4 linked regions of the Schizosaccharomyces pombe genome follow. The protein of the gene in region 2 interacts with the protein of the main gene of each other region in a pairwise test. Each region holds a gene or a part of one and is shown on either strand. Other genes may lie near its edges. The genes, in order: dal81, rcl1, tea3 and ntu1.

Region 1 (7,603 bases), 1.4 Mb from region 2:
AAATTATGAGAAAGTAATATCAAAGAATTGTTTGAATTTTACATAATATAAGCGATCTTGCATACGTTGAATCATTCGTAAAACAACGTAGAAATACACAACTCGACTTTGACCATAACTTCCGAAAATAACAAAGAACACGAAAGCAATGATTAGCACTTCGGCTTGTAAATTCACTTACCCATACGTAAAGCAGTTTCCTGATCTTTTTTTATAAACATAACGGCAAAGTGTAAAGGTGTGTCCCCTGTCATACGACAGCGGTTATTCAAATTTACGCCAGATATATCTAAAAGCCAGTCAAGGCACTCTAGGGAACCATATTTTGTACAGACATGAACACAATCGTTTCCAAGTGAATCACGAGCATTATTGATGAAGCTCACTCCGTCTCCTTCCTGTTGGTGAACAACTTCCTCAAGCATGTCAACATTATTCGAGCGGCAAGCCGCAATTAACATTTCCGCTAAAAAATCGTTAGCAACTTGATACAGCCAATAAATCAAGCAGCGCTCTTACATGGCTTAGCTCCTTCAGTTGACATTCTCGTGACTATAGTGTATTATGTATTTGGTAAGTATGTTAGTTCTTCGGTCCGCTGAATGGATCTCTATATATAAGTGGGGGGCGTGGGGGACGGAAATGTTCGTCAGTTACGAATAAACAAAGCATATACTAAGAAACTGTTTAATCATTACTTCTCCAAATGGTATTGCAATTGATGAATTTAACAGTGGGTTTTCAAAATTTTGAGAACCTATGTTAACCTTTGCTTTGAGTTTATCAATGATTGCAATATGACCTAAATAAAGCAATGAATTAATAAAATTAGTACTTTAAGCACTTAAATTTATTTCTTTTATAACGAAAAACTGTCCTATAGTGACCAAACATTTAGTTCTCATATCCCGGATTATAACCGTTTGTATAACATATCTACGCATTCGACACAGCCAAAAGGCTTCTTCCTCTGAAAGAAAAATAAACAACATAAGTAAAATATATGCACAAAGCAATTGAACAGATGATCTTGGTACAAGTCAACTCTAATAATTTATACGGAATATTTGATAAGAAACTATAGAGTATGAAAAGATGAAAAAAACTGGTAAATAATTGTAATGAAGTAAAAATATGTAAGAATAAGCGTTTTCTGATGATCATTTTAAGAATATGGATTATTGTTATATACCTGTATTGCTTAGACTTCTAGTATCCACATCAAGAGTTTTCATATTTGTTCTTAAAAAATGGAATTCAAGCCTACTATTACTTTCATTCATCTTTTTAATAAACTTGTACGGATCTAATTATCATCATTATTTGAATCTACTCCGGCTAATTTAAGATACAAGATATTTAATTTTTCATATATTATATATATTCTATTAGACACCACTTCTCAACTAACTCCTGATGGTGTAGTTGGTTATCACACCCGGCTGTAATTTCGATGATACCGGTTGGTCGCTAGTTCGATTCTGGCTCAGGAGATCTTTTTTGCTTCCACCTGGTAAACTTTAAAATATAAATAAATATATGTTCAGATCTGATAAACCTTATTGTTGCAATCAATATCTCATTATAAAACGATAGGATGTTATCACTTCAATATTATCTTTCCATCCTTCGTGAATATTCCTAACTCACTTAAACTTTTCTATCAGATGTTTTTAATGAAGCCCTTTAATCAAATTAACAAGGATCCTAAACTACTTTATAAAATATAAGCAACTAGAGCTGACTAAAAAAATAATAATGTGTAGATATCCTTAATTAGGTAGGTATAGGCTCATAAGTATTCAATTAACAACTCTTAAAACCAAACAAAAAAAAAAGAATTAGAAAGGTCTAAACACTATCATTATGTCAGGGTTTCGTCCAAGTTACGCTTTCGATGTTCAAAGGTTTCTTGTAGAAGTTTGCCAATAAGTGGTCTACCTGAGCTTAATTCAATCAGCAACGCGTTTAATCGCTTATAAGCCATGAAAACCAAATCAAAATTTCGAAACTTCAGCCAGACACAATGCTTTGTGAAAGATGACAAAAGGCCAAAAGTCGTAGCATTAAAATTTTCATTAAACTCAAAGTCCAGATACATCTTAATGATTGCAGATGATAGGATACAAAAATAGAATTGGGAATACGGCCAGAAAAAATCAGTAAAATGGGATTCGTTAATGGCTAGAAAATGAGAAACACAACGTTGCACCACGTTCAACATTTCTTGCTGATATACTGCATCTGTCAGTTTAAGTTTCAATGCTGTTTTCCGTAATAACAACTCCAAGGCATCGATTTGTAAAAACAATGATAAAGATCCAGGTTGGTTCTCTCTTAAATTACAGCTACATGAAAATTCTTCCAGACTAATCAGATATTTTGATATCTTTTGAGCCACAGTACGCCGATTTTTCGACATTGTCATAACCGCTCGAGCGTTGAAAAGATGTTGTAATACATTTTGAAGCAAAATACTTAGTTCCGCCATTTTAACAAATACATTGAATGAGTCGGCAATCCTTTGCTCCCCAGCCAATAGCTGGTTGTCCGTTAATGGTGGTACTAAGTAGTCATCTTGACGAATGCTTGCATTGATCCCAATATACATCGAAAGCCATTTTTCGTTAACAAAAAGGGCCCACCACACTCGATTACGCAAGATTTTTTCTTCCTTTGGAATCTGCCATTCAGAGCAATCCAAATGGAACCCGAGAATTTGCGCTAAAGCAATCGCTCTAGTCAAAATGCTCCAGTTTCCAGCTACGTTAATCCATGGTCTTCCCGTTAAAAAAATAATCGCCGCTTGTAGCGTACTTAATCGAGAGAGAGAAAAGGAAAGATCCAAGAAATCCTCAGTAAGATCCCATAATTTTTTTGCATCCAAGCGAGGATAATTTCTTAACTCTTTATCCGCATCCCAATAAATAATTGAGGAAGCATACATCGCAGTTAAAAGGATAGGGGACAGTTTGTGTTTTGCCTTTTTGAAGGCGAGGAGAAATCTTTCGCCATGAATAACAGGGTATACGCGATGAATGTACCGGAAGTAAAGGCCAATCAATCGTTCGCCGACTTCTGGGGATACTGTGGCTTCAACCACTTGAAATATTTGCTGAAGTTTTTCATAACGAGCAATTTGTTTGTGCGGCTCATAAGCTGGATCAACCATGTACATAACTGGAGTTTTTGGGTTTGCAGAAACATAACGAATGTGCATATTACTAAATGTATAGGTTCCCTCTTTAGGTATAAAGTACTGCCTTATCAAATCGACGTCAGAATCAGATGTTGGGTTCAAAATATAAGCATATGACAAAGAATCGTCAAAACCAAGAAAATCCGTTTGGTCATCAACTGATGAACCTTGACTAATTAGAGAATCATTCTCATCCAACACAGTTGAGCTGTTTAGACTTGAGGGAGGTGGGGCAGCTTCGGAAACTCTCTCAACCTTGGTAGATGAGTATTTCTTTAAAAACTCCTCATATGAAAGGTCGGATAACTTTGCATGCTCCTGTCCAGGTTCGGATTTTGGAAAAGTGGTTTCTTTAACAATGGGTTGTGGTTGTGTGAAAGACTTTTTAAATCTAAAATTTTCCTCATTCTGAGTTATAGAGGGAAACTGCTGCATGGATTGTGCTGAGCTACCAGCCAATGCGGAAGGCATTGATTCATGTCGAATTGTCCAGTGACTACTTTCCTGACTATGTGAAGGAATTAAAGGATTGTTATTAGTACCAATAGGCAAAGTACCATCAGACTTTACATCTTGCGAGGCAACCGAAGGCTTTTTCGATTCAAGGCTAGAAGAACGAGAGTGCGGTGGCAAGTTAGGATAAGGACTTGAACAAAACAAAGAAACAGGATCCATAAAGCTTGAGGAAGAAAACTCATGGAAATGGATCAAGCAAGTTCCCAAGCTGCAGGGAATACATAGATTCGGTTGAGCCTGAGACTCTGGCTGCGAAGGAGATGAACTTTGGTCCATTTACGAATCAATACATAAAATCGTAGTTACACGACCCAAGTAAAAGGATGACAGTATCACCTCATTAGGGAGCACACCAAAACGGGATGTGTTACAAGAACAAGGCGATTTTGAAGTGAGATGGGCGGTAGCGAAGCATGGATGGTGTTTATCGTCTAGCTTTAACTTTAAGTACATTAAGGTTAGCGAGATTAACCGTCCATATGTTTATGAATGGTCTTATTATTAAAGCACCATCGCTTTTTTTAAGACTATTTACGTTGGGTTCAAAATCTTTATTGTAAAAATATTGATGGGCATTAAATAATTTGCAATTATGATTGAATAAGAACATAAATATACAATGAAACAGAGTACAACGAATGAATTTGCTGATATAAATTAGACTTTTATGATCGGATGCAGAATAGCTTGTATTCAATTGATTTTTTATTTGAAGCAAATAGAAGGAAAAGTTCTCGCAATTTATTTCAAAAAAAAAATAGTATTATTTGACCAAAATGGGTCCTTGCGTTTACGAACTCTGATGTAGTCACCAACTATCAAAATTACCATTTAACAATTCTTTTTGCTTTTAAGAGTGTTGGCTTGACGAATGGATTAATTTCAATTTACTCATAATATTTTGCTTTTAGGCGTTAGAGAATTATTTTAACTCAGTAAATGACACTTAGTATATCTCACGGAATACTTTCTTTTGCTTATATCTTTCAGGATTTTGTTTTTTTTAGTTTTACTTGAATAAATGTTAAATTTTTGATACGAAACTTCAATGTTAAGTTTAACTTTCAATAACGATCATTTTGCACAACTTCATCTTCTGTACTCAGACATCAAGGTTGTCAGATTCCTGCAACCAACAAAATATAATTTCGTTGTAAATATTTGTGCATCTAATTGATACAAATATAAATACTCTTTTTTCATAAATAGTTATATGTTTGTGCATATTTTTTGGGATCGATTTTAAAAATCGTCGCATTTCCTGCCTTCAACTGTATCAACGTTTTATTTTAAATATTCATACTGCAGGACGGAAAACTACTTTATGGAAAATCGCATTTGCACACTTGCAAAGCCGTTGCCAAAGTTAGATGAAAGCAAGCAAGCATGGGTTTCATATTTATGGCTCAAGAAAGCGTTGCCAGGTTTCGAGGAACACTCTGCTTATGTTTACATGACCACTAATCCTACAATCGCTGGTCGCATATTTTTACCAATTAATAATGAAGATCTGGAGGATGGTACTGTTGAAATTTCTGGTTATGATAACTTACTGGCTGATGCCTTGTACATATCGACAATTGCACCTGTCAAACTGGATTTTGTGCAGTTGATTGTTATAGATGACAATTCACAAGATCAGGATGCAATAATTGAAAGGATTAAAGGGAGAAATGCTATTTTAATGGAAAGCGATTTTATTAACCAAAATATTTTGGTACAAGTTTGTCAACCTGTTCGACATGGAGTTGTGGATTCAGAAACGAAATTTGTTATTGAAAGAAAAGATAGTTTTACTTTTTTAGCATCCAATGAAAAAAATATTTCATCATTTAAACGAGGAAAAACCGAAACAGATGCTGAGTTGGTCATTCGTCCATCAAAAGTACATACTGAAATACAATGGTGCTTACAAAACTGCTCTTTAATTCATGTTCCTTTTGAATTATTATTCAATGTTGGTAAAAAAAATGGTTGCCCAATAAGCCTTCGCTTGTCAGATGGAAAAAATGTCTATGGAATTGCTTCGATAAAATCTGATACTGAACATGATAGTGTACAGCTTTCGCCTTCTCTTCATTATTTTGATGAATTCAACGAATCTGTTATATCCGAGGAAGGTACAGAGGCATTTCTTGTCGCTCGTGGGCCATCTGTCGGGATCGCTTCAAGAATCTCACTTCGTACTATTCCAACTCAATCCTGCTTTTCTGAAAAGCTTCTAAAAGCCGCTAACCTTTGTGTTGTACAACAAGTTAAACAAAAAGTTTTCTTACAAAGCAAACAAATATTTTGTGTACCTATAAATTCGTTAATGGCTAATTCAGATTCAGTTGATATATTAGAGCTTACAAGGAATACCGACGCTTATATATGGTACTCTGTTGAAGAAATAGATCCTTTAAATACTTATAACATTTACTATACCAATGAGGATACCTCAATCGTGCTTGACACTCAACTTTCCCACAGACTTCTTCCCAGCCTTAGGAAACCTCTTCTAAATTTTGTTAAAGTACATCCTCCTTCCCAAAAACTATTAAGATTCTGCAGAGCTTTTTTTGATCCTCAACAAGTTCCTGGGTTTAATCCTTTTTTTCTGCTTCATGGAAACCCATTTACGGGAAAAACAAAGGCAGTAGAAGAAGTTGCTTCTCTTTTTAGTGCACCTGTTTTTACGGTAAGTTTCAATTAATCCCAACTCTTTTTTGATTCCATTCTAACTGTTTTCTAGATTTCTTCTTACGAATTTGCTGACGCAACTGCAGATCATTTAGAAGCTAAGCTTGACATGTTTGTGCAAAATGTTGTTAAGTCTCCCTGTGCTATCATTTTTGTAAAGGACTTAGATGTACTCTCTATATCTTCGGATGAAGGGAACATAGTACCTGGTTCAAAGAGTATTCAAATATTATTGTCGAAAATTGATCTGGTTAAATCTCCTCAAGGTAGATATATTGTTATCGGAACATGCCATTCAATTGAAAAAATACCGTATGAAATTCTTTCAGAATCATTTTTTGAGTTAAAATTTTCTGAACTTGAGATGGATGAACGTTTGGAACTTTTAAAAATTTATGCAAATAATGTTATAATTGACAAAAGAATATCTTTGAAAGACGTGGCTCTAAAAACTAATTCAATGTCTTTTGGCGAGCTTGAATGTTTACCAGATCATATGACTAAAGCTGCCGTAGACAGAATAAAGAGAACTGGTTACGATAATGATTCTATTATTTTATCGGGGCCAATAATTACAGAGCAAGACGTGGACGTTTCAATTAATCGCATCCGTAAAGAAAAATCGAATACCATTTTTACTGTCCCTAAGGTTAATTGGGATGACATCGGTGGATTAGAGGAAGCAAAAACTGTTTTGAGGGATACCCTGCAATTACCACTTCAATTCCCAGAGCTGTTTTCTCAAGGATTGAAACCTCGTTCAGGCGTACTTCTTTATGGGCCACCAGGTACTGGAAAGACCCTTTTGGCTAAGGCTGTTGCAACTGAATTATCATTAGAATTTGTTAGCATCAAAGGTCCAGAATTGCTAAATATGTATGTCGGTGAGTCAGAAGCCAATGTTCGAAATGTATTCGAGAAGGCAAGAAACTCTTCACCCTGTGTTATTTTTTTTGATGAACTTGATTCCATTGCTCCTCACAGAGGTAACTCTAGTGACAGCGGAAACGTTATGGATCGTGTAGTGAGTCAGCTGTTGGCCGAGCTTGATAGTATTTCAAAAGATAATAATAAGTATGTATTTGTTATAGGGGCCACCAACAGACCTGATCTTTTAGACCCATCTCTTCTTAGACCAGGTCGATTCGACAAATTAGTGTACCTTGGAATTAACAAATCTGAAGAGTCAAAAGCAAGTATGTTACG
Region 2 (6,379 bases):
AAAGCTATCACTCGTCCCGCTCAAACCATTCTTGAAAATGCTGGATTAGAGGGTAACTTGATTGTTGGTAAACTTAAGGAGCTTTATGGCAAGGAATTTAACATCGGTTATGATATTGCTAAGGATCGTTTTGTTGATTTAAATGAAATTGGTGTTTTGGATCCCCTAAAGGTCGTACGTACCGGTTTAGTTGATGCTAGTGGAGTCGCCTCATTAATGGGTACCACCGAATGTGCCATCGTCGATGCTCCTGAAGAGTCCAAGGCCCCTGCTGGTCCTCCCGGAATGGGTGGCATGGGTGGAATGCCCGGTATGATGTAAGGTATCAAAAAAATGCCGACGTGGTTTTTTAAATTTTTACAATTTATTAAAAGCTTATGATTATGATGATTTAAATCCATTCAGAGAAATTGGCTTTAATTTTGCATTATGTTGTTGACCTTCGTAAAATTCTTTAGTTTCAAAACTAGTTAATGGGTCATACTTCTGTTAATGGATACTTATTGTTTTGAAACTTTTCATTCGGCTATTCTCATATGGTTGCTAATTGTACAATCAAACTCCTGATTTTGTTTAATGAACATAATGTTTTACCTTGTGTTTATTACACATTATAATTTCACTCTTTTTACGAATGGTATGACTTTCGACTTAAATACCAAGTTTTCACTTTTGTGTTTTTGTAAGTTCTGAATTGTGTTTACGTAAAGCATCAAGTTTCTTTATATTTCCTATACAGGTTTGTGGTGAGCTTTGAAATGGTTGAAGTATGTGAGAGATAAATGATTTTGAAAATGATGAAAATAACGCGGATGAAATATATGTCCGAGAGCGCAAAAAATGTGTGGATATTTCCGTTGCCTTCCTTCTGATTCAAAATTATTATATAACTTATATATTTTTAGCTGTCGTGCGAGTATCCCTACTATATTCTTTTTAGGGGATCTGTATAGGTCATATAAAGAAAATTAAAATGCATGATATTATGTTATCACTAGTATTGTGGTAAATTGTATTTTCAAAGTTATGATGAGAGGCAATTGTAAGTAATAAAGAAACATTGGTGCGGTGTAAATTTTAAATGAGCCTAGTAGTTGAAGAAAGCTCTCGACGAGCTCATGCCAATTTCACAGCCTTACATGAATTACTCCAGTTTTTGTAACATTTTAAGAAAAAGCGCGCCGTCACTGATGTTGTTGCCGTCTCTTTCACTTTTTTCTATTCTATGTCGTACCATATATAAAAGATACAGTGTACAGTAATGTACAATATGAGCTGAATTTAAAAATGTTGTATACTTTTTTGCTCCATACACTGATTTCGTAGCAAATAAACAAATAAACAGGTACCTTATAACTGTAAACGATTTATTACCCACGCCCTGCTTTCGCAAGTTAAATAGGAAGTTCTGGAGGAACAAAATCATATAAATAAAACCATAATCATCTGCTGCAAAGATTCGTGAGCGCTTCAAAAATATTTACATATATCTAAATCATCAGCACTTCCCCGGCATTAGTAACAACTTTAAAAGGAAAATAAATTTATTCAGACTTCACAGAGAAGTCAAGTTTATCCTCCTCCATTCGTGAATCCGAGGAGTTCTCTTCCTTTGGTTGATTCTGTTGGGTTTCATTACTGACAATCCAGTTGGGTTGAGTTAAACAGTACTTCTCCGGTGGAAGACGAAACCCATAAGACGGCTGAATTTGGGGTAAAGGTTTTCGATTTCTCTCCATAGCAAGCTCTAGTAAAAATTCTTTTGGTGGAGGTCCAGTGAAGGAGTGATTGATTTGAGAAGCAACAGCTAAACGTACATCTTCTACAGAAATTGGAGCATTTTGCCCACGTGAATGTTCCGCATAAACCTGTGAATCCTGGATTAACTGCTGTGTATATCTATGTGCAAATGTTAACAACTGCAAAGGCACTGTTTGAGAGTATGATGGAACACCCAGAGAGCTAAGTATTAGATGAATCAGACGAACGTCCTTAGGTCCTTTTATAGATTCATCACTTATTCCTGGAGAACTCATGATTTATTAAATACTATAAGTATATGCGAAGACAAATACGACTCCCGTTATTTTTCTGTTTTACCACCCAAAAAGATTTATGGTCGTTGCGAGCGTTGCAAATTGTATCCACTCAGAAGTTAGCGTGAGTCCACTGCACACCACTAAATAGCTTGTTTCAGAAAGTTTACAACAATGCTATTTTACATATACATTACTAAATATTTCGAGTCATAAAAATTTATCTAAGCAAACTTTAATTTATGCAGAAGGAATGATTTCATTAAAGCAATTCCTATCAAAGTTGCTTTTAGTATCACCAATGTTAATAATTTAGAAGTTACATAAAATTTTAGTATAAGCAGCGTAAAGTAAAAACTCTCATTTAGTAAATAATAAAACGAACAGGATCATTCATACAAAATCAATGATGATACAAATTTACTAAAAATTGGCAGTGTTTTTTTTTTACAAAAGGACATGGAAAAAGGTTGAGATTTTCAAATGAGAAGAGCATCTAAGAACTAATTTTCTGAAAAAGAGGCATCGGGAAAGAAATATTAAAGCAGAATGAAGTAGAAACAGAACCAAGTAATTTAAAGGAAACCAAAAAAATTCAAACCATAATTGAAAATGAACATAACAAGACCGTTAAAACAACTGAGTCACAAAAACGTATTTAAATCTCTAAATATGTATGGTGCTTTTTTTTTATACTCATGTCGTAATTGCAATGGGAAGTTAATGGGTAATGAACTTCTTAGTACGATTAAAGAGTAAATATATATCAAAAAGACGTTCGTTCATTTTAAGTACCCGAACAATATGTTAAATGTAATGTTATGATGTTTAAGAAGAATAAACGAGCAAAGGACCCACTGATAAATGGTTTTCTATTGAATGCGGCGATTGACATTTAAATATCCTTTTCCTAAGCATGACATCTCCACCTGGCCTGATTCGAGCTCTTTAAATCTATATTCGCAATTGAAAAGTGCCTTCACATCCCGAAGAAAAACAACTAATTGCGAAGTAATACCAAGTTGACCCACAACTATTGTGTTAACGTCTTCAGAGGATAGTAGCATCCCGGTTAAAGTTGAAGGTTGTGTATATGGATCTACACAACCACCAGATTCAATAACTTCCAATAATTTCTTTGCGCAAAAGGAACCAACATCTTCTGGTGTTTCTCCAGCTTCACCACAATGCTCGGCAGCATAAGAGCAACCCTTATTAGTTTCTGCAACTAAAGTGATAGAATACCCAGGACTGTTACCACATTCATCTCCACGGCGAACGTCTGTATAAATGAAAACATCGGGTATAAAAGGATTTAAAACTCCGCGAGCAGATTCTACTAAGCGATTTGCAAAAGCGGGAGATACTCTAGTTGAAGAAGCAATTCCTCTGATTCGGAAGACTCTTCCAAATTCTGAGAGACGAATGGGAGGTAAAGACTCTTTAATTACAGGACATAAAAAATTCACTTCACCTCCTCCGCCAGGAGCAGAACCACGCTTTAATATGCGCAACTCAAGTTCATCACCAACTTGAAAACGCTTTTGAAGAGAGGGTAATACACTAGTGCGCAAAACATCGACACCAATATCTTCATTACTGGAAGTAACTCCAGTAAGAGTAAGTGAAGTAGGGGTTTTTGCAAAAAGACAAAGTATTAGAATTGGTTCCAAAAAATAGCCTATCCCTTTGGTAGTTGGACAATCATGGACTACACGACCTCCTATAATATTTCCTGGGCGATATATGAACGAAGTACCTGTGTAAGAAATTTCTATGACACTGCCATTGGTCAACTTCTCCAACAGCCTTAAAAACGAAACCTGGTAATCTTTGACACCAGGATCGGCTTCATCTGGGTAAATTCCTTCAACTCGAATCGGAGTTCCCGAGAGAGTTGCAAGGACTAACCGATGCGTCAAATACTCACATCCTTTAAAGCGTTTGAGCTGACCGGTTGACATCACGAGTTTAACAATTCAAAATGAATGCAAAGCCCCGAATTATTTTAAAAACGCGTTTTTCGAGACTTTGATATTTCAATTCCTTTACAGGAAATTTTTAGTTTTGGTAAAAGAATTTCTACAGCGCAAGAGGTAGAATTGACCTCTCAGCTAGGAGTTGCCGTGGTAACCGTAAAGCTACTTGTTTACTAAATAAATGTAAACAATAAAAAAAGTACTGTATTTTTTAAAAAATTAACTGTTTTTACTACTAAAAGAAAGAAATATACTTTCTTATATAATATTTAACACATTAATAAAATCAAGTAATTTTATTTCTAGAACATAAAAAGCAATAAAACGATGATTGATTTTATGCTTTGAGAGTTTTGGTAATATATAAATACTTTTTTAAAATGCCAGAGAACACTAGAGGAAAGAATGATACAAAAACCTCTGAAACATTAAAAAAGTGAAACGTTAATATATGCGGTAAAAGCGTTTTAGGCTACGGGATTGAAATTGGATAGCTCAGCGTTAGGACTAGGTTGCGAGGTTGAGTTATTACTGTTGGAATACTGACCTCGCTTTGAGCGATTAAAAAATCCTCCACGGCCACGACCTCCGCGATAAAATCCTCGTCCACCTCGACCACGTTGACCACTTCCTTGGGAACGGTTGACAGAAGGGCGTTTTGAAGATCCTCTGGTATTGGAATTTAATTTGGGTGTTCCATCTACGACTCCATTGCTAGGATCAGCTGCTTGATACCATTCTGGTGACATTGAATCCAATTTTTGCTGCATTTGTTTTTGTTCAACAACTTGATTTTGCGTGGGATAAATATTGGTCCCATCTTTGCCCAAAACATCTACTTCAACATTTTCAGTAGGAACCTGAAGAGTAGAATTAGCAGGAACAGATGTTTCACTGGGGAGAGCGGGTTCCTCAACATGCTGTCCTTCAATTTCGCTCTCATTTAAAAACTGAATGCCACGGTTAAGTGGTCGATTAGTTTGACGGGCTTCGTCATCACTAATACTCTGTTGCTCAATGGGTTGACCAACTGCTTGCTCTGGTTGCTCCGCATAATCATCTTCGATAAGTTCCTCAGCCTGTTCACTAGGCAAAGGAGCAGCGAAAAAATTATCAACTCTAGATGAAATCGTCTGAAAGGACACTTCACTTTCAGGTACAACGTCTGTTGACGAGTCGTTCAAATCAGCAACAGCTTTTTCAGATTTCTCGGTACCCTCATACACAATCACCAATAACTTTTCAACAGCTGAATTGAAAGGCGCATCATCTGAAGGATGAACACAATTATGGCTTGCAAATCGTAGAAAACGGACCAAACTTGAGACTTGCTTTTGAGCGGTGTCATATCCTTCGCGGTATTGTGCTTCAATCTCTTCTTTCCTTTTAGCATTTTCGGTCGCCTCAAACTGACGCTTGTGTTTTTCATCACGGATCCTTGTAGCATCTATTTGGCTTAACAACTCCTTCAACTCATTCAATGTCGTCAATACAGCATCTTTACCTTGTAATGCTTTTCGTTGATCATCATTGAGAGAATTGGAATCGCTAGCAGCTATTTCTTCAAGCTTTAGAATTTTTTGCTACAGATTTAGTAAGTTTTAACGCCCAATTTAATAAATGATCTTACCTTCTTTTTCGTAAAGTTACGAATGCGCTTGGTTAAATGCTCCACAATAACGCTTCCGAGTTCTCCCTCTATAGGGTTTTGGGTGATGTTTTCACTATTTTTATTGTTTCCCTGGCTTGGCATGGTTTTTTTCTTTTCTCGCTTTTATCCCACAGGTTGGTTCTTCGCAAGTTTGGTTGACGTGCCACATGGCTGCCACCCTACATGATGAACCTACTAAGTATCCACATCGTCAAACATTGACTTTAAAAATCCGCAAACACTTTTGGCAGTCTTAATCCCTAATAATAGGAACAATTTATTTTAAGCTATCTCACAAAAAAAAAAATCGAATAGAAAGAATACGTGTTTTTATTAGAATTTGATATTAGCGAATTTCGAAGTCAATTTTTCTAGCATCCTTTACTAATATATTTGAAAACTGAATTATTTTGATTTATAAAATTATGTTTTCTATTGATAGTTGCTTGAAAACAAGGCCCTTAACTTTTCGAATTGCTCGTCTTGGTATGAACTTCACGACATGTTCAGCTGCTAGATCATACGTTGGAAAAAAAGAAATCATTGTTCCAAAAAATATCCAGTTTGATTTGGAGGGGGAACAACTACAGATTACTGGACCTCATGGAACACTTAACATGAGATTTCCAAATTATCTCAATCTCTCGAAAACTAATGACATCCTAAAAGTAGGAATGGATGCCAATATAGAAAAGCAAGCTACTAAAAAGCAA
Region 3 (8,418 bases), 2.9 Mb from region 2:
TAACAGATTATTTTCAGCTGCGCTGAGCATTTTTCCACTCGTCCTTTTACAATCAGACGTTAGTGCAGTTCAATCTTCCCTACTTATTGGTCTGTATCTTCAATCTACCATTTATGAAAAATCTAGTTTTGCATATTTTGGTTTGGCGATCAAATTTGCGGTTGCCCTAGGACTTCACAAAAACTCTGATGATCCTTCTCTTACCCAAAATTCCAAGGAATTGAGAAACCGATTGTTGTGGTCAGTTTTCTGTATTGACCGTTTTGTAAGCATGACTACTGGAAGACGCCCTAGCATACCTTTGGAATGCATTTCTATACCTTACCCTGTTATATTGCCCGATTTAGAAATACCGGGTTCTCAGTCTATCGTCGAAAACATGCGTGCCGTTATTAACTTGGCTAAGTTAACAAATGAGATTTGCGATTCGCTGTACTGGAACCCTTCTCCAAGCTTTGAATCGCAAGTTAATTCTGTCCGTAGGATTTATGCTCGTCTAGAGCTTTGGAAAAGTGATTTACATTCTTCTGTGGTTTTTGATGAATCGGCTGTTCAGCATCCACTCTTCCGGTCAAATGCACATGTTCAAATGATATATGATAATGCGATTATGCTTACTACGAGAGTTATTATGGTAAAGAAATTAAAAGATAAAGATTTAACTGCTGAAAATCGTCGCTACATCCAGCTATGTGTTGAAAGCGCAACAAGGGTCATAAACATAGCACATCTTTTATTAACACATAAGTGTTTGTCCAGCTTATCGTTTTTCGGGCTGCATGTTCCATTTGCAAGCGCACCTATTTTACTCTTGTCTCTTCATTACGAAAACTCTCAGGATATTCAAGCTGTAGTCACAAAATTATGGCAGGTATTGGAATTTCTGAGTTCAAGGTGTGAATTTGCTAGAGAAAGTCTAAACTACCTTAAGTCATTTAACAAACAGTTATCTAGGCGCAATGCCCCAGACATTAATAATCCGATTGCAGATTTCCAAAATAGTTTTCAAAATTGGCAATCCTGGGTGGGAGATATGTCACATGGAGACATGCTTTCTACCTTTAAGCTTACAGGAGAAAGCTCAAATGGTAGTAATAGTACTCCAAACGAAGCATTCCAACCTTTTGACCAAACATCATCTCTCTATAATGTTCCGGGTCTAAACAAAAGTTATGTTAGTAACCAACCCAGTTTGCTCACACCTGAAACTTTTCTACCGGATCCAGTTCTCAATTTGGAAGTTGATAAACAATGGACGGCTCCTACGTTTTTGAGTTGGACGGAACTGCTAGGCCCTACTAATGTCTCTGAGCAGTCTTCGCATACTGCAGAGCAAACTTCAAATTTGACCCTTGAAAAAAATGGATGAATCTTTAATGGTTTTTTGCAGGTCTTTGTTTGTTTTAATTATTTCTACGTAATTCATCATATGCTTTGTTCGCGTGGTTAAGGAATTAGCATTTAATACCAGTTTAGTAATTTGCACTTGAGAGTATCCTCATCAATCTAATACTTTAAATTTTCTCTTACTTTTTAAAAGTTAATTAAATTTCATTACTTTTTAAAATATAAATGAGTCAATGTAAATGCAGTAGAAATAATTGCGTATTTTATTGTTAAATATAGTGGTAATTTACATACGTAGTCAAACGACTTGAGATTAAGTAGAAAAAATCAAACCACTTCAAAAAATTATTAAGAAAATTGTACAAACCAAAAAAGAGATAAAAAATCCTTAGTTGATGAATAGAGTTACATAAATGAATGACTAAGCTGCTGAAATGACTCATCTGAGCAATTGGCATATGTTATGGCTTTTTGATAATCATCCTCCAGTTGCTTAATACGACTGGCATAGTAATTATCATCAATTGCACGCATTTCTTCACCTGAAAATGAGCCCGCGGTATCATTTAGTTTTGAGCGAACATCATAATAATCTTTAGATACCTGAGGGGACAAAGACAAAAATTTTTGCTGACTGTTGATAACATCAGAAAGTCTTTTATGTAAATCATTGTTATCCGGGGCTTTTGTTTCTTCAGATGTCATCAAATTACCAAAATGATTACGATATTTTGTAAACACACCACCAGAAGGTATGTCAGATTCTTTTGAACTATGTGCAGCACTAGCATTATTGAATGAATCCTCTTCGTTAAAGTATGATCTTAAGGGAGAGGAGGAAGCTGAAAAGTCCGTAGGAAGATGAACGTCAGTAGAGTCCTTTCCTGATAACTGTTGATTCATTTTTGAATCAGCCAATGCAATTTGTACCTCAGAGAGCTTACGCTGAGTAATTTTTGCTTGCTCGGTAAGATCATTGACCTGATCAGAAAGTTTACTTTTCTCTGTCATTACAGAGGAATATGAATGCTTTAGATCATAGAGCTTTTGCTGAGAATTTAGTAGCTCTTTAGTGCGACCCTCACAAAGTCTCTGGGACTCACGTAACAACTCGTGAAGCCCTTCTAGCTGAGACTCCAAGTAGGAGATCTTTTGTTTCGACTTCGAAAACTCTTTAAGATTATCTTTATTTTCGTTAATAGAAGATAATAACTTTGATAATCCGCTTTGCATTATAGCTTTCGAGTATTTAGCATCAGACACTGATTGTTCTAAGGCTGACTCCAACTCTAGCGCACGAGATTGCAAATTTTCCAACTCAATCCGAACATTCTCATATTCGTACTGTAAATTTAAGCACTTCTGTTGCAACGTACTTTTCTCATCCCTTTCTCTACGGAGCGAATCTTCAAAAGACAATATGGCAGTATTGGACACATCAAGAGCACTAGCGGATGCTTCAATCACATTTGTCTGCATCTCCACTCGATCATGCATCTCAATTAGCTTCGTTTCCAGCTCATAATTTCCATACTCCAAAGCCTCGCAACGAGAACGATAATCGACTAACTCTTCTGAAATTTGCAATATCTGTGATTGTAGGTTTTCATTTTCTTTTTGTAAAGATAGTATTTTTGATGAATCTTCTTCAAACACACTACGAAGTTTATCATAATCTACACAAAGTTTCTCATTTCGAGATTTTAAGAGTTCAGAAGCGGATTCATTTTGCTTCAATAACTGTTGAAGTTCAGTATTTTTTTGATAATAAGAGGTTGCCTCTTCAAGAGTCCCTTGAACTTCGTACTCTAACTTTCCAACTTTTTCTATTAAAGATCCAACAGTTTCGTCCGTTGTCTTTTTCTGGATCAGTGAACGTGAATAATTTGCATTTTCCACGGCAGCATCTCTCTGAGCAGCCAATTTTGCGTTTTCAGATGCTAGGCTAACGATTTGCTTTTTAAACTTTTGTTCATTAGATTCAAGCATTTGCTCAATCACCTTCAGTATTTCCAAATAACTGAGCTGCTCTTTTTTCTCAAGCCTCAATTTTTCATCAACGTGTTGAAACAGGTTAGGAGGTTTGAGAGTATAGCCTTGTTGCATACAATATAACAGTTGCTCCTCAAGCCAAGCTACACGATCATCAGAATTAGAAAACTTAAAATCTGATTGGAGTTTAAGCAGAGAATTACTTTCACTTTCGTTGATTGGAGATGAAGATTCGGAAGACCTAGAAATAGTATCGTTTCCATTAGGTAAAGGAAGAGACGCAATAGGTTTCTCAATTTCGTAAGCAAAGGGGTCAGCTTGCCCAAACTCGTGAAGAGAGAAATCTGCTGAATGATTCATTCCAGAGGTTTTACTAAGGTTTCTCAAAGAATGTAATCCTTGTTCATCCAAGCTAGCATAGTGCCGATGCCTAGCTGATCTTACGGCTTTTTGATTTTGCTCCAAAAAATTGTTAAATTGACTAGACGAGGTGGATGTCACAGAATTCTTTTTGGAATGATTAGGACGGTCGTTTAGGTAACCAAGAGAAACCGTGTGGTTTGAAGCATTTGAAGGTTTCATGCTAATATGCTGAAGAACAGGAATATCAGAAAATTTATCCTTATCCCAATACAAATTTTTGGGATCTGCTTCATAACATAACAGTTGCTTAGGAGCGTCAAGTGCATTAAGATATAATAGTAAAATATGATTGTTTTTTGAAACAATTTTGTATGAAGATGAATCAGAAAGCAAAATAGGGATCGGATTTGAGACTAAGGACCACCGCTGTTGACTATAATTAAAAGCCCAAAGCTCGTTGAGTATCAACCCTTTATTATCACGACCACCATAAATGTAAACCGTGTCATCTATTGTAGTAGCTTGATGACCTTCCCGCGGACCTGGAAATCTTCCTATAGAACGAACCTCGGTCCATGAAAGTGTTTCTAAATCAAAAAGCCAAAGATCACTTAATGGACCAGTATCATTATGCCCTCCATGTACAAATATTTTTCCTTGGACAAGAGTAACTGAGTGATTTGAACGAGGTGGAGGGGATGAGCTATGCAAAAACGGTGTTTCCCATGACCAATCAGTCTCATCAAATTCCATATTAGCCTTTTCAACATTATTTGCATTTGCCTTTTGCTTGAGTTCTGATTGCGTCCTCCGATCAACCCCTTTGGTATCAAACAAATGTATATCATTCAAATATTTTCCTTGACATTCACCCCCAAATATCCATAATTTAGAGTCAACTAACAACATAGAATGTCCAGTGCGAGGCGATGGTAAGGGGGACTGTGTTGAAACCAAATTCCATTGATTACTCTTGAAATTGTATGCGTACAATGAATTATCGCCAACTTCAAATGTGGAATCTGTTTCTGAGTCGCATCCTCCGAAAAGATAAATAGTGTCAGCAGAACAAACGATAGAATGACCAACTCGAGCAGGAGAATCATTGTCTTCCCCTCTATTGTGAGAATAAACCGTGCATGAATCCAGGTCCAACTTAAACAAAGAGTTTGAAATACCAGATTTTTCTCGTCCTCCATGTAAGTACATGAATTTTTCATTCGCAGCATCTAGACAAGAAGCCGGTTTTACAGCTTCCCATTTAAAACTTTGGTTCGTAGATGTCCTTTTATCATTTTCTTTGACTTTGCGAACAACCCATGCACGTATATTTTGCTGATCAATGCTACCGGATTCCACTACATCAAGCTGTTCAGCAGACACATCCTGAGAGTTATCCGATTGACGGCTTAAAACCTTTTGAACCATGTATTGCGATCTTTACCTTGCAAAATCGCTTACTGGTTTTGCAGTTGCAGATGGTAATCAAAGCGAAAGTTTAATCCAAGGAGTTTTTTAAAAGGTTCGGTTTTTACGCTTAAAAAAGAAATAAAATAGAAAAAATATATATTTTAGTTTTAAAAAAGAATTAAAAAGTAAAATTTTCGAAATAATATGAAAAGAGCATAACTTGTGGAGGGTAATGGAAACACACAGTCCATCAGGAAACGGCAACTTAGAGTAGAGAAGTCTTAGAACAACGAATACAATTGCAATACCCTACAATAAATTTTTGTAATACTGTATGATGTTTATAATTTATATCTTCATTAAACATAAAGAAGGGAGAGTAGATACAAGTTTAAGCGCAATAGTATACATTACCGTTGAATGCTCTGTTTGAATTGAAATTTAGAAGTACGAAATATGCTTCACGTTTGAAAAGCTTAGAGCAAGAAAAATGTATTTTTCCAATTACTCTATAGGATAGAATTTAAAATAGACAACCACAAAAACTGTTATTTACTTTATAAGCTAATTGTAGTAAATGGCCTACAAATATTACAAAATTTGATTTATAAGGCACATTTTAAAAATAAAACATTTGAAAACACATGCTGGACAAGTAATCGGACAAAAAAATAAAATTGCGATAAATGAAGCAAATGAGCGTCAATGCAATAAAAATCGATTCAAAATGGACCGATAAAAAGTTAGGTAAAAAAAAGTCGTTCAATTGGAATCCAAAGAATAATGTGTAGTATAAATTAATGAATGAGGTCTATAACAGCATCACATGGGATAGTTTGCAGGACAAGAAAGAATAAATAAAAATAATGAAGCACTAAGCGAAGGGCATAAAAAATAAAAATTTACTCTGAAATCGAAGAAAAAGAACGTAAACTCATTCGTATCTCCTTTAGTACAATCTCATTAAAATCTTCAGGGTTATCAAGATAGCAATGGTGACCAGCATTTGAAATTATGTGGTGCTCCGCCTCAATATTCATCTCCTTCAATCTGTTTGTCGCTTCTAAACCAGCAACATCATCCATCCAATCTTTATCTCCATACATGAATATAGTTCGACACTTCAACATGCGCAAGCGATTCATAATACATCGTCTAGCGAAAGCTCCGGGAGCGAGCAAATTGCCAAGTGCATACTCGCTGGAACCCTTGAGACGAAATATTGAGTAGCAGTAATTATGTAATGCCCTAAACGTTTCCGGGGGAAGCGTTGAAAACCTTCTGCTAGACCAAAAACTCATTAGTTTAGGACCTAAAGGCCCGCTTAAACGAAGTAGAGAAAATGGTGTAACATTTTGCTCCCATAAGAAGGTGATAAATCTTGGAAGAGGATTCTTTGGCTTGCTTGGCCGGGAAGGCTCTAAACCTGTAGTTTCCTCTTGGGTTTGCAGAACCTCATTAGTAACATTACTTAAAGGAGGTTCATCCATAACAGCATGCACAGCAGAGGAAGCAACGGAATTGTAAACTTCCGCATCATCGTTGCTTGCAAAAGGGTTTTCAGGAATGGCAACTGGACTAACTAGTAAGAGTTTCTCAACACGTTCCGGATATTGCATGGCGTAGACAGCAGACAAATAACCTCCCATACTATGGCCCACAAGGATCATTTTCTCGATACCATGACCGATTCTCCATGTTTCTAATGACTCAGTGAAAAACCTCTCTGTTTCTTCGACCTTCTCTGAAGCGGTTTGCCCCTTGATATCGAAAGGCGGTCTTGACGAGTTTCCCATGCCTAGCCAATCAACAAAATAAGAATTAAAATCCTTTGTCACACCCTTAGTCAAACCATCCATGTTCCGAAAGTAAAAACCAAGACCAGCTCCATACCCATGCATGTAAACAATGCTTCGCTTGTTCGCTTTTCCTGTTGCTTTATCACTAACACAAACCTCATGTACCAATCCATCATTATCGTAGATTTTGGAATCTACAACTTCAACTAACCTTTCTGGGTCCTTTTCATTTTCCCGAATAAAATCGACAGTGTGCAGGACTTCACGCTCACATTGTTTCGCATATTCTTCAGAGCATGCTTGACGCCATTGCCTCCAGGACATGCCAAACGTTTGCGTATAAGAATTAGCTGCTTCCTCACTTCTCACCGCGACTTTCACTTGGCTCATAGTAACGGTGCAAACGCTGAATTCAACACAAAATGGTCAATGAAGGAGTCAACCCCGCGATAATGACAATACAAACAAATTACTGTTTATGAACTATTTAAAACAAAATAATTCCGATATTTAAATAAAATTCCGGATATTGGCTCGGCAATTGGAATTCAAAGTGTTGTGCTGTGGGTAAGTTTATGTAAGCAAGATACGAAGGTTTTGATCTGACAAAGCAATGGCATTGTAACAAGCAGCGGAAAAGCAGCACATTCTCTGACTTTTTTTCGTTAATCTTCGTAACATTTTGGCTGAATTAAAAAAAGGCGAACAAATGATGAAGCAAGTTTTCATGAAAATTTCATAGAAAGACAATTGAGGTTTTAGTTCAATACTTAATACAGCAATTGTTCAAATATGATAAAGTCCCTTTATGCAATAAATACTTCAGTGCAGCAGAATATTAAAATTTGTTTCCGGCATTGTTATTGACAACACTATTGACATTGGTCATTGTTATGAACATCTAATAATTATTATTTTTAATTCATATAAATATAATAAGTAACGTATCAAGTATAGCACCATTCATCTAATTACTTAGCAAATTACATAAAATAATACATTCCTATGCACAAAGTTAACATTTATTTTTCATTAAATTTCCTAGATTTCTATCCAGCAACTTAATAGCTTGGAAATGACATGCCAGAAATCGTAATTGTCGAAGGAATAAAAAGGATAGCTAAGAAAAATCCCTATAAAGGATAATCATCTTTTCGGAATTCTATGACATATGTACTTAAGAAAGGTATCATTTGAATCATGGCAATTAATCAGTTTCCATGGCATCAGCAGAGTCAAGTATAGCCTCCGCAGTAGGCGCTTGAGGTTCTTCGGCGGCAGCCCTAGAAGCACGAGCAGCCGCGGGACCTTTGTCGCCTAATTTATCAAGCCATTCTTTTGTGTCATTTTGATCGTAAAGAGTATATTTTTCATCTTTTCCAATGACGGATATAGAAACGTTTTCTTCGGTCAGTTCTTGGTCTTTTGAAAGAGTATCACGTAAAGCTCTAAGTGCTGAGAGGATAAGTTCTTCTCTGCTAGAATCCGGAAATGTATCCAAATTTCG
Region 4 (8,710 bases), on a different chromosome or scaffold from region 2:
CCATGCAGCTAGCTCCCAACAGGTATATTGAGGTACAAACGACACCAAGTATTAGGCAAGCTGAGTTAAAACCATTTATTTTATAAAGTAATCTTGTCCCTTTGTCGTCTATAGGTGTACCCTTTGCCCATTTTCCATTCGTGCATTTCCATAACAAAGTGAGAGTACTAAACCAAAGCAAGTACAAAATTAAAGACTTTTGGTCAAATAGAGGAGTTTTTTTAAATATATGAGAGATTTTAGAGAATTTAGCCGGGCATCCTTCCTCATTACAGATATAAAATGAACCAAAAGATACGACGGTCGTTAAAACAGTAACACCTAAAGCGCCAATGGGCCCAAAAAATTCATATTCGAATTTCTCCTTTTTTACCGCACCTTTAGCCATTTTCAAAAAGTTCTATGAAATGGCAGTAGCAACTAGGAGTTTCGAAGATGTTATGGAGTATCTTTATTTAAATGCCATGTCGCATGATATACATAATATGTGTTACCTTAATGATCTTATTCCAACGTAGGCCTTTTTGCTCCTCCAAACAACAGAAAAATCATAAAAATGATGATTTTCATAAGCTTCGGCTCGTTTAATGCTTATTTAATTAATAAATCAGCGGTCCGTCAGGGATGTGTTCTTACCATACGTTCGCAAGCCAGCAATACAAATTAGTAAAACAATTGTAGATCTTTAGAATACCAATATACAAAATTAGTTACTTATCTGATTTTATTGAAAAATTTATATTATTAACATTTATATAGTAATAGTATATTCTACAACTGAAAGAAATTGGAGTAATGCATATATATATATATATATTTGATGTAATTTCCTACAAATTAATAATTTGTAAAATGGCAGATCATCGAAATCAAATAAACGTAGCCGCAAGGCATTGATCCTTTAGAGAAAAACAAGCATAGCTGTACATCCACACTATTAGAAGATTATATAATTTATAAGTTTGGTAATGGAAAATTAAAATTAAAATCAAATATGTCGGTAAAAACCTGAAAAAGGTTTTGGTCGTCCAAATCTCCATGGTCTTCTGAGAGCTCTGGTTCTACCGAATTGATTGTCGTGTATATATTCAGAACGTAATGAATCCTTTCCCATACAATTCCCGGATATTTCTTTTCCTCAAGGGTAGCCTGTACTGATGCAGTTACATTCCAAAAATCCTTTGGGACATCGTAACCCCTTTCGGAACAAACATGTATTATAAGAAACGTATGTGTAACTAAAATTAACATTGCTTTCAGCCAACCGTATTTTTCGAAACAATCCATTGAATTGCTAATTAATCGTGACAACTGTATCGATGTTTGGCCAAGCTTTTGAACAATATCTGGATAATTGGGTACTAAAGTACGGCTCACAGTAATAAAACCTTGATAAAGATTTTTACGTACTGTCCAAAATACGGTTTTGAGAAATAAATAGCGAAAATGAATATCTGATCCATCGATATTAGAAAACTTCGACTCTATTTCCATTAAAACCAGCGATAGTTGACTTTCATAAAACTGAATAGAGTTAACGAATTCGTTTACAGTCGAAGTATGAATAGCTTTATATATTTCCAAACCACAAGTTAACAATTGCCCGAGTAGTGAGTGAAACTCATAACTAATAACATCTGAACCCATTTTTCGCTGAGAGAGAAGTTTGCCGTAAATATCGTGCTGAACCCAAGGCTGGCAAGATCGTAAAACACATTCCAAAGCATCTATCTCACAAATCGAAAGCCAAACCTCCATATTTGCTTCATACTCGGTATCAGTATTTTGAAAGATTGGATTAACAAAACATGCGTAATGAATTGCATAACATAGATCAGTGTTCATACTTCGAAACTGGTTTCGCATGCAAAGTTGCGCCCTTATAGCATGCAGTCGAATTCTGTCAATATTTCTCCATAGTCGAAATATTACCTCCTCATTTAAAAAGTCATCAATTTTTGAATTTAATGCATCCGATAGTTCAATGGCGCTATGATTAACAGCCGAAAAGTATCTTTCAATATTTGAAGGAAAGGATTCTAACGAAAGTGCTACCGCAATTGCTGTAACTATTAAAATAATAGAAGTCGCGAAAACATGGTTAGAATTTTTCAGATCAGATAACAATTTATCAGCTTGCTCAAAATCTAAAATATAATTTGTTACATTAAAAGTATTAGCATAAACTTTTAAAAGGCTTTCGCATACATCCCAAGGAGGGATAGTTTCTAAAATACATTCTAATCGTTTTTTCAATTTAGGATCCGTTTCTAAAGCTTCTCTTAAACGTGATTCTGGATCTCTCTGAACAATACCTTGAAATTCAGCCGAAGATTTCAAAATTGTTTTCCAGTCTACGAATCCAAACTTCTGGGTTTTAGGGAGGTTGTTTTCTTCCAAACGCGTCCGAGTCTCTTGATGAGCAGAACTATCTGTTTCTCTAGTAATTGGTCGGCTTAAAGGTTCTTCAAGAAGTTGGACTGCTTGCTCGTTTACTCCATATGTACATGATTCTTCACTCTCTTTACATCGAGAACAAGGATATTGGCGGTCACATTTGACTTTTCGGCGCCTGCATCTCAGACAAGATCTAGCTCGAATATTTTTGTGGGCCCTATTTTTAGATTTCCCAACCATAATTTACCTAATTACGGTATTTCTTCTGTAGTAGAAAGTTGGATATTTCTATAAAATACAATTCACCATAAAAAATTATACGCACAAACTAAAGGTTTCATTCAGTATTAACCTGATAACCATCGAACTTTTAAGCTGGGATTATGCTTCAATTGAATCGATGAGACTACTAATATTTTACTGCAAACATTTTTATGAATGCAAAGGCGGTGTCAACGTTGTGTGGTGGTAAATATTGAGTGTGCAGGCTTAATTATTTAAATTCTTCAACGTCTAAAATACAGTGTAAGCATCAGATCTCGATACCATTTTTTTCGCAGAGCTTTTATTTAGAAGATTTTTATAGGGATCATTTTTTTAGCCTAGATGCCAAAGGTACTCAACAATACGTTCCACAGTTGGGTTTGCAGTTGCTTACAAAATAAACAGCTAATTGTCATTTTAGTAATTATACATTCCATCGTGAAAGAAAATGCACACTATTAAAGTTTTTAGTTCATCAATTGCTTTGCAGTAATCCATTATAATGTAGAACTTCAACGTAACTTTACTCCAAAATTTTTAGCTTTTAACACTACTTGGTTATTCATTGCTGATAATAATGCGCGTAAATATCACTAGCTAATGGACATGAAGCAGTAGGCTAACTCTCTAAGCTTGATCAAAAGATCAAAAAGCAAATCTATCACAAACATCTAGGAAGACAGATAATCTAGATATTCAATCGTTCTATTATTCAATAAACATAAAAAGCTAATCATCAACCAAACAAAATATCACTTAATTAAAAGGAACAAAAAATAAGTTTTTTAAAAATGTCAATGTTTTTTCTCATGAGCAAACCCTAAAAGTTGGAGCTAGAACCCTTATTAAAGATAAAAAGTGAAGCAAGAATTATTGCAGAAAAAAAAATTTTGAAAACAAAAGTGAGTTTCTATGCTTAACAACATTGATCGCTCACTCGGTTCTTTTAGAGTTTGAGGAACTTGGATGGTCAGGAGAATTATTAGAACCATCTCGGACAGTAGGATAAGCAACTTGGTTAGTCATGGAAGGTGGTTGAATGAAGGGATACGGCATGCCAGATTTTGCAGCTCCAGGTGCCATCATAACCCCTGAAGTAGGCAGTGGTAGCATTTGTTCTGACAAGGGAAAAGGCGGGTGCTGGTAAGGATACTGTGAATATGCTTGGAAAGCCTGAGGCATATTCGAAGTTGGACTCATGTATGGAGGGTATGAAGTATTATACGGGAAAGGTACTGGAGAATAGGTGTTCGGAACATAAAAACCATTCGCTGTTGGCATTGAAGAACCATAATTAATCATAACCCTATCATGAGGGTATACATTACCATCAGAATAGGAAGGATATCCGTTTTGTCTAGGATAAGATTGATCCTGTGTACGCCCACCATACGTAGGCATAGGGAAATTTGTTGGTGCATTTTGAAACTGGGCAGGATTATAGTAACCTGGGTAAGGAGCATCTGAATAAAATATTTGTGCTTGCGGAAACTCTCTAGGTATATTACTAGTTCTCTGCGAAAAGTTGTTTGGTAGTTGTCCTGTAACATCCGGGGTCGCATCCAAATTTTCAGTACCAGATGAGTTCATATCATACGCAATTAGCAAGTTCTTGATTGCCTCCATTATTGTACTATAGTAAGTGGATTCGCGGTATATCATTTGTAGACAATGAAATCCTAATCTTGCCTTAGTTATGAAATTATTAGATTTATTGGCATCGTCCTTCGTCAAAGTAGCACAATATGTCAAGGTCATTAACGCGTAGTATCCAGAATACAAATTGAAAAACAGTTTGGGAGTATTTGGAGATTTGGCCAATTCCTGTAACAAAAAAACAACACGCTCCGCAGATTGTGCACACTTTAAAGCAAAATTTGCAGGTTTCATTGGCGACCCATTCTGATTATCAATTGGTGTACTAATACTGTGAATAAAAGGGCGATAGAAAATGAGTTCTATTTGCCTGAATTTCAATTCCAGTATTATTGCTTGGATCCATTTGGGTGAAAATTTTGGAACTTCGCTCATTTTTAAATAAGAAGGTAAGTTTTTCCACCAATATGTAAGTTTTTCTTCATGATCACGAACAGCTGGTAATGAAACTTTACAGTGTGAGTCAGAGGGCGATTTGACTGGATACACTTTCCTTACAAAATGACTTAAAATACGAGAAAGCGTTATGTGTTGTATAAAAACTTCCAAGCTAGTGCATTCTGATGCTATTAATCGTGGAGGAACCTGGTCATTTTCTAATGTGAAATCAAAAGAATTGGGTAACGATTGATCAATATCAACGTCCTCAATACTGAGAGGAAGACCAACAATTGTACTGGTGTAACAAGCCAAAACGTACACAGAATAAAATACCCGTTTGGATAACCGAGATTCATGAGATGTGAGAACGTCTGAAAAATCCTTGTGCAATCCCAATTCGTGGCAACACAATAACGCATTATTCGTGAACGTATAAGCTTGAGAAAGTCGGGAACTGAACAAAGCAAAAAGCGCAACAGACAATAAAATTTGCACAACTTCAATCGTATAACTATCTTCCCATGAAAATGAAGACCGAATGTAATAGTAATACTCGTAAGCTTCATGATAAGGATAGTTAGCACTAGGAGATTCATCGGGCATATAGGTGTAACCCAAGCACAATGTAGCGACAAGTAAAAAATGAAAATTGTTATCAGTCTTGCCAGTTTTGTAATACATATGCATCTTCTCAAAGAAAGATGCAGGATGATGAATATGTACCAAAAAATGGTCATTCATAAAAAATTGGCTAACAATAGAAAGAGCCTCCTCATATGGAGGTAGCTGAATTTTGAGAGGCGGTTTTTTATGTTCATCTTCGGCAGGGGTGGGTGGAAGATACGGAAAAGATAAAGGATCTGGCTGAGAAGAAGATGAATTAGATTCTTGGACAGGATTGGGAACCGTAGAATTCCTCGCAATGTTTTGATGTATATTTTTCATAAAGACAAAGCCAGAGGAACTTCCACGAAAGTCGGCTTTCCCATCATCTTTTAAACTCAATTGTCCATACCGGTCGAATAAGCTTTCAAACTCGTCCTGTGACGAGCTTCTTTTAGAGGAATCAGAGCGTTTCCAAGGAGATTGGTTCACAGGAGAATCTTTGTCATTTGGAGGAGCCAGAAATGATGGCAACTTTAAATTTGGATCGCTTTCTTCAGCCAGTCCCCTCAGATATTTCAATCGAAGCTCCAAAAATTCTATATACTTCTCAGGAGCATGCCGTAATCGCTTAAAAGGTTGACCATAAGTACATTCTTCAACAAAGTTAGAAAACTCCATCCAATTATAATAGAGGCTTGAAATAAATTTTAAAGCGACTAAACTTGAAGAAAATAATCTCATCTAAATTGTAGGCACTTACCATAGTTATATGCTATGCAATTCGAGCAAGGCTGAAAAAGTTAGTAAAGAACAGAAATTTATATTTATTTCTAATCGCTCATCCAAATTAATGCAAATAAGATAGAAAAAGAGCAATAAAAGCCAAAAAAATAATAAATTAACGACAAAGGTTATCCGCATGCTCTCTAGCTGAACTGAAATCAATCAAGCTACAATCAACTTCAGAGAAAGCGGTAACTGGGTGAAGTGAGTTCTCAGTTCCCAACTCAAATAATAAAATTATGCAAAACATAAATAGAGCAAAGAAATTGACATCTTACCCTTCTCTGATCACATTTGATCTTTCTCCTGTGACATTCATCACATGCTCTAGAAACACGCTGTCTACGAGATACATCGCCGGAAGACATTCAGCAGCCTATCAATAAACTATGTTGAAGCCTGCTAACTTCAAACTTGAGGGAGAACAGGTCTTTTAATTTGTATTTATCGAATCGTTGTTACCGGTTTTTACAACCGAAAGTTAACGCAAGTGAGCAAAAATGCAGTTTATCATTCAAAATTTAACGCTTTGAAACTAAAGGAATTTGGTGCTTTAGATAGGTAAATAAATAAATAAATGGTGATCGCTGCGAAGCGATTATGGATGATATACGCGACAGGTTAAACCTACGAGAGTGTGTGCCAGCGATCGTATACATCCGCTAAATAGTAATTACTCGTTACTTCACGTTAGCATACATGTGTAGGTGAAGCAATGAGATTATACCATGCTAAATGTTTTTGTTGCGGTATGTTAAATATCGTTATAAGCCTGACATCTTCACGTGTGAGTTCTCCAATGAGTCCTGAAGCTGGAACCATCAAGCCGTTTATTGACTATTTTCAATATTACTGAAGAAAAAAGTATGGGAAATAAAGATCATTCAAGATCAAGTTTGTCTGTTCATGTAAGCCACATATTATTTATTATAATATCAAAGTCTCTCCGTGCCTGAGTTATGTTCGGTAACTGTATATTGCATAATACTTTCTGTTGTGTACCACACATTATAGTGCGCTACGAACTCACCAAATAATATTACGTATCCTACAGAGACTTCGCGAATCGCGTAGTTAGTAAAAATATGGAAAATAACGTGAGTAAACAGTTGAGCGTTAATATTGCAGCCACACAAAATCGGTTGATTGAAAGCGAAATAATGATTCGGAATTTCCATAAAACACAATTAATACTCTTAGTGTATTCATGTAATAGCTTGTACAGTTCTCAAAATAAATCTTCAGTAGACACGTTTTAAATAATAGGGTAATTACTAGGATATGCACGCGACCGTTAGACGCCATTACATGTGCAAAAAACACTGAGTGCTGAAAAGCTAAAATTATTACAAGTCTTGCAGAGTTATGATTGTTTGAGTTTTTTTTTTTTATAAGTTAATCCTACGCCAATATATTAAGAGGATTTTTTTAACTGCTTAGTATTTAAAAAAGTATATCGAAGATCCGGTATCTTGATTGTTTACAAAAATATAAATAGCAACGATAACAAAGACGCATTGTTGACAAAAATAAAAAATGTACAAATATTTAGAAAAATGTATATTTTAATTTCTATGTATCTAAAATGATGGTCAATATTAGTTATACCGTGAAGCGCTGGCAACGGAAGGTAAACGAATGTTGACAACAACAAACGAGTGTAAATAAACACACACCAACAGCACAATTGCTGTAGAAAGGAAAAATGACTGTTCGCAGACTCGAAAGCAAGTCTGAGCATATATCAGATGACGAGGAGAGAAAAGAACAGTTAGATTACAAAAAGCAAATGGATGTAGACACAGATCGTAACATTGTATTGAATGGTCGCCTGGAATCCCAAATTGCGAAGTTGTCCGTTCCACCTCACGAAATGAGAGTGGTCGATGATTATTCGAACAGTAAAAATGCGGAAAGACACTCTGGAGAAATACAAGCTTATGCGAAATTCGCTGGAAGTACATGGACTTATTATGTTAAGAAAATTCGAATTATACTTGGTCGCGAACCAGCAAATCCTTCACCAAAGGGGAAAAATGAAGATTTAGAAGTAATTGATATGAATTTTGGTCCTTCTAAAGTTGTGAGTCGAAAACACGCTGTTGTGGAATATGATTTGGATGACCAAACATGGAATTGCTCAGTTTACGGTCGAAATGGCATTAAAGTAGATGGCAAGTTATTCAAGAATGGGGAAACAGTCAAGCTTACAAGTGGGTATGTTAAAAATCATTTACTAGAATAGTGTTGGTTCGTCGTGATTTGCGACAGGACGGAATATTGATGGTTTCAGCAGCGCATAATTTATGCTTTACTCTTTCATAAGTTCTATGGTTTTCTCGTGTTATTTGTCAATTTTAAACGAATGTTTGGTTATTTTATAAATGCGCGTTAAGGATTTGTCAAATTATCAAGAAAATAATTATTTCCGTCCTAGTTCAAATAAATGCAGGAAATTATGCCAATTATTTTTTTTTATTTCTTTTTCGTCTTACTAATTATCTACTAGATCTATACTCGAAGTAGCGGGTTTACAAATGATGTTCGTACTACCCAATGCAGCTGAGCAAAAGCAAACTGACGAAAGCACTATAAAGGAGGATGCTATAAAGTCTGAAATTTC

The links.
Region 1: the proteins of rcl1 (region 2) and dal81 interact in a two-hybrid assay, tested with the Schizosaccharomyces pombe proteins (one large-scale study listed by BioGRID).
Region 3: the proteins of rcl1 (region 2) and tea3 interact in a two-hybrid assay, tested with the Schizosaccharomyces pombe proteins (one large-scale study listed by BioGRID).
Region 4: the proteins of rcl1 (region 2) and ntu1 interact in a two-hybrid assay, tested with the Schizosaccharomyces pombe proteins (one large-scale study listed by BioGRID).

What each region holds. Positions count from the first base shown.
Region 1 is NC_003424.3:1,745,054-1,752,656, forward strand, and holds dal81 (transcription factor), read right to left. Parts: upstream 4,113-7,603; 5' UTR 3,992-4,112; coding exon 1,865-3,991; 3' UTR 1,415-1,864; downstream 1-1,414. Other genes in the region: ank1 (ankyrin repeat-containing protein), read right to left, coding at 182-466, 520-544; pex6 (peroxin-6), read left to right, coding at 5,040-6,395, 6,450-7,603.
Region 2 is NC_003424.3:334,049-340,427, reverse strand, and holds rcl1 (rRNA processing protein), read right to left. Parts: upstream 4,107-6,379; 5' UTR 4,001-4,106; coding exon 2,909-4,000; 3' UTR 2,271-2,908; downstream 1-2,270. Other genes in the region: protein Mcp60, read left to right, coding at 1-321; SAGA complex/transcription factor TFIID complex subunit Taf9, read right to left, coding at 1,545-2,036; cpn1 (caprin), read right to left, coding at 4,483-5,598, 5,646-5,768; mrpl6 (mitochondrial 54S ribosomal protein uL6m), read left to right, coding at 6,092-6,379. UniProt on the Schizosaccharomyces pombe protein: Does not have cyclase activity. Plays a role in 40S-ribosomal-subunit biogenesis in the early pre-rRNA processing steps at sites A0, A1 and A2 that are required for proper maturation of the 18S RNA. Rcl1 activates bms1 by promoting GDP/GTP exchange.
Region 3 is NC_003424.3:3,212,938-3,221,355, forward strand, and holds tea3 (cell end marker Tea3), read right to left. Parts: upstream 5,337-8,418; 5' UTR 5,131-5,336; coding exon 1,753-5,130; 3' UTR 1,576-1,752; downstream 1-1,575. Other genes in the region: DNA-binding transcription factor Thi1, read left to right, coding at 1-1,369; cardiolipin-specific phospholipase Cld1, read right to left, coding at 6,015-7,301; proteasome core particle subunit alpha 6 Pre5, read right to left, coding at 8,119-8,418. UniProt on the Schizosaccharomyces pombe protein: Acts as a cell end marker required for efficient new end take-off (NETO), whereby growth is activated at the cell end to generate bipolarity in extending cells. Also required for proper placement of the septum.
Region 4 is NC_003423.3:4,241,745-4,250,454, reverse strand, and holds ntu1 (regulatory protein ntu1), read right to left. Parts: upstream 6,711-8,710; 5' UTR 6,456-6,710; coding exon 6,366-6,455; exon of another isoform or gene 6,298-6,365; intron 6,096-6,297; coding exon 6,065-6,095; intron 5,958-6,064; coding exon 3,595-5,957; 3' UTR 3,029-3,594; downstream 1-3,028. Other genes in the region: C-14 sterol reductase Erg24, read right to left, coding at 1-388; SPOM_SPBC16G5.17 (transcription factor), read right to left, coding at 955-2,637; DNA-binding forkhead transcription factor Fkh2, read left to right, coding at 7,793-8,304, 8,597-8,710.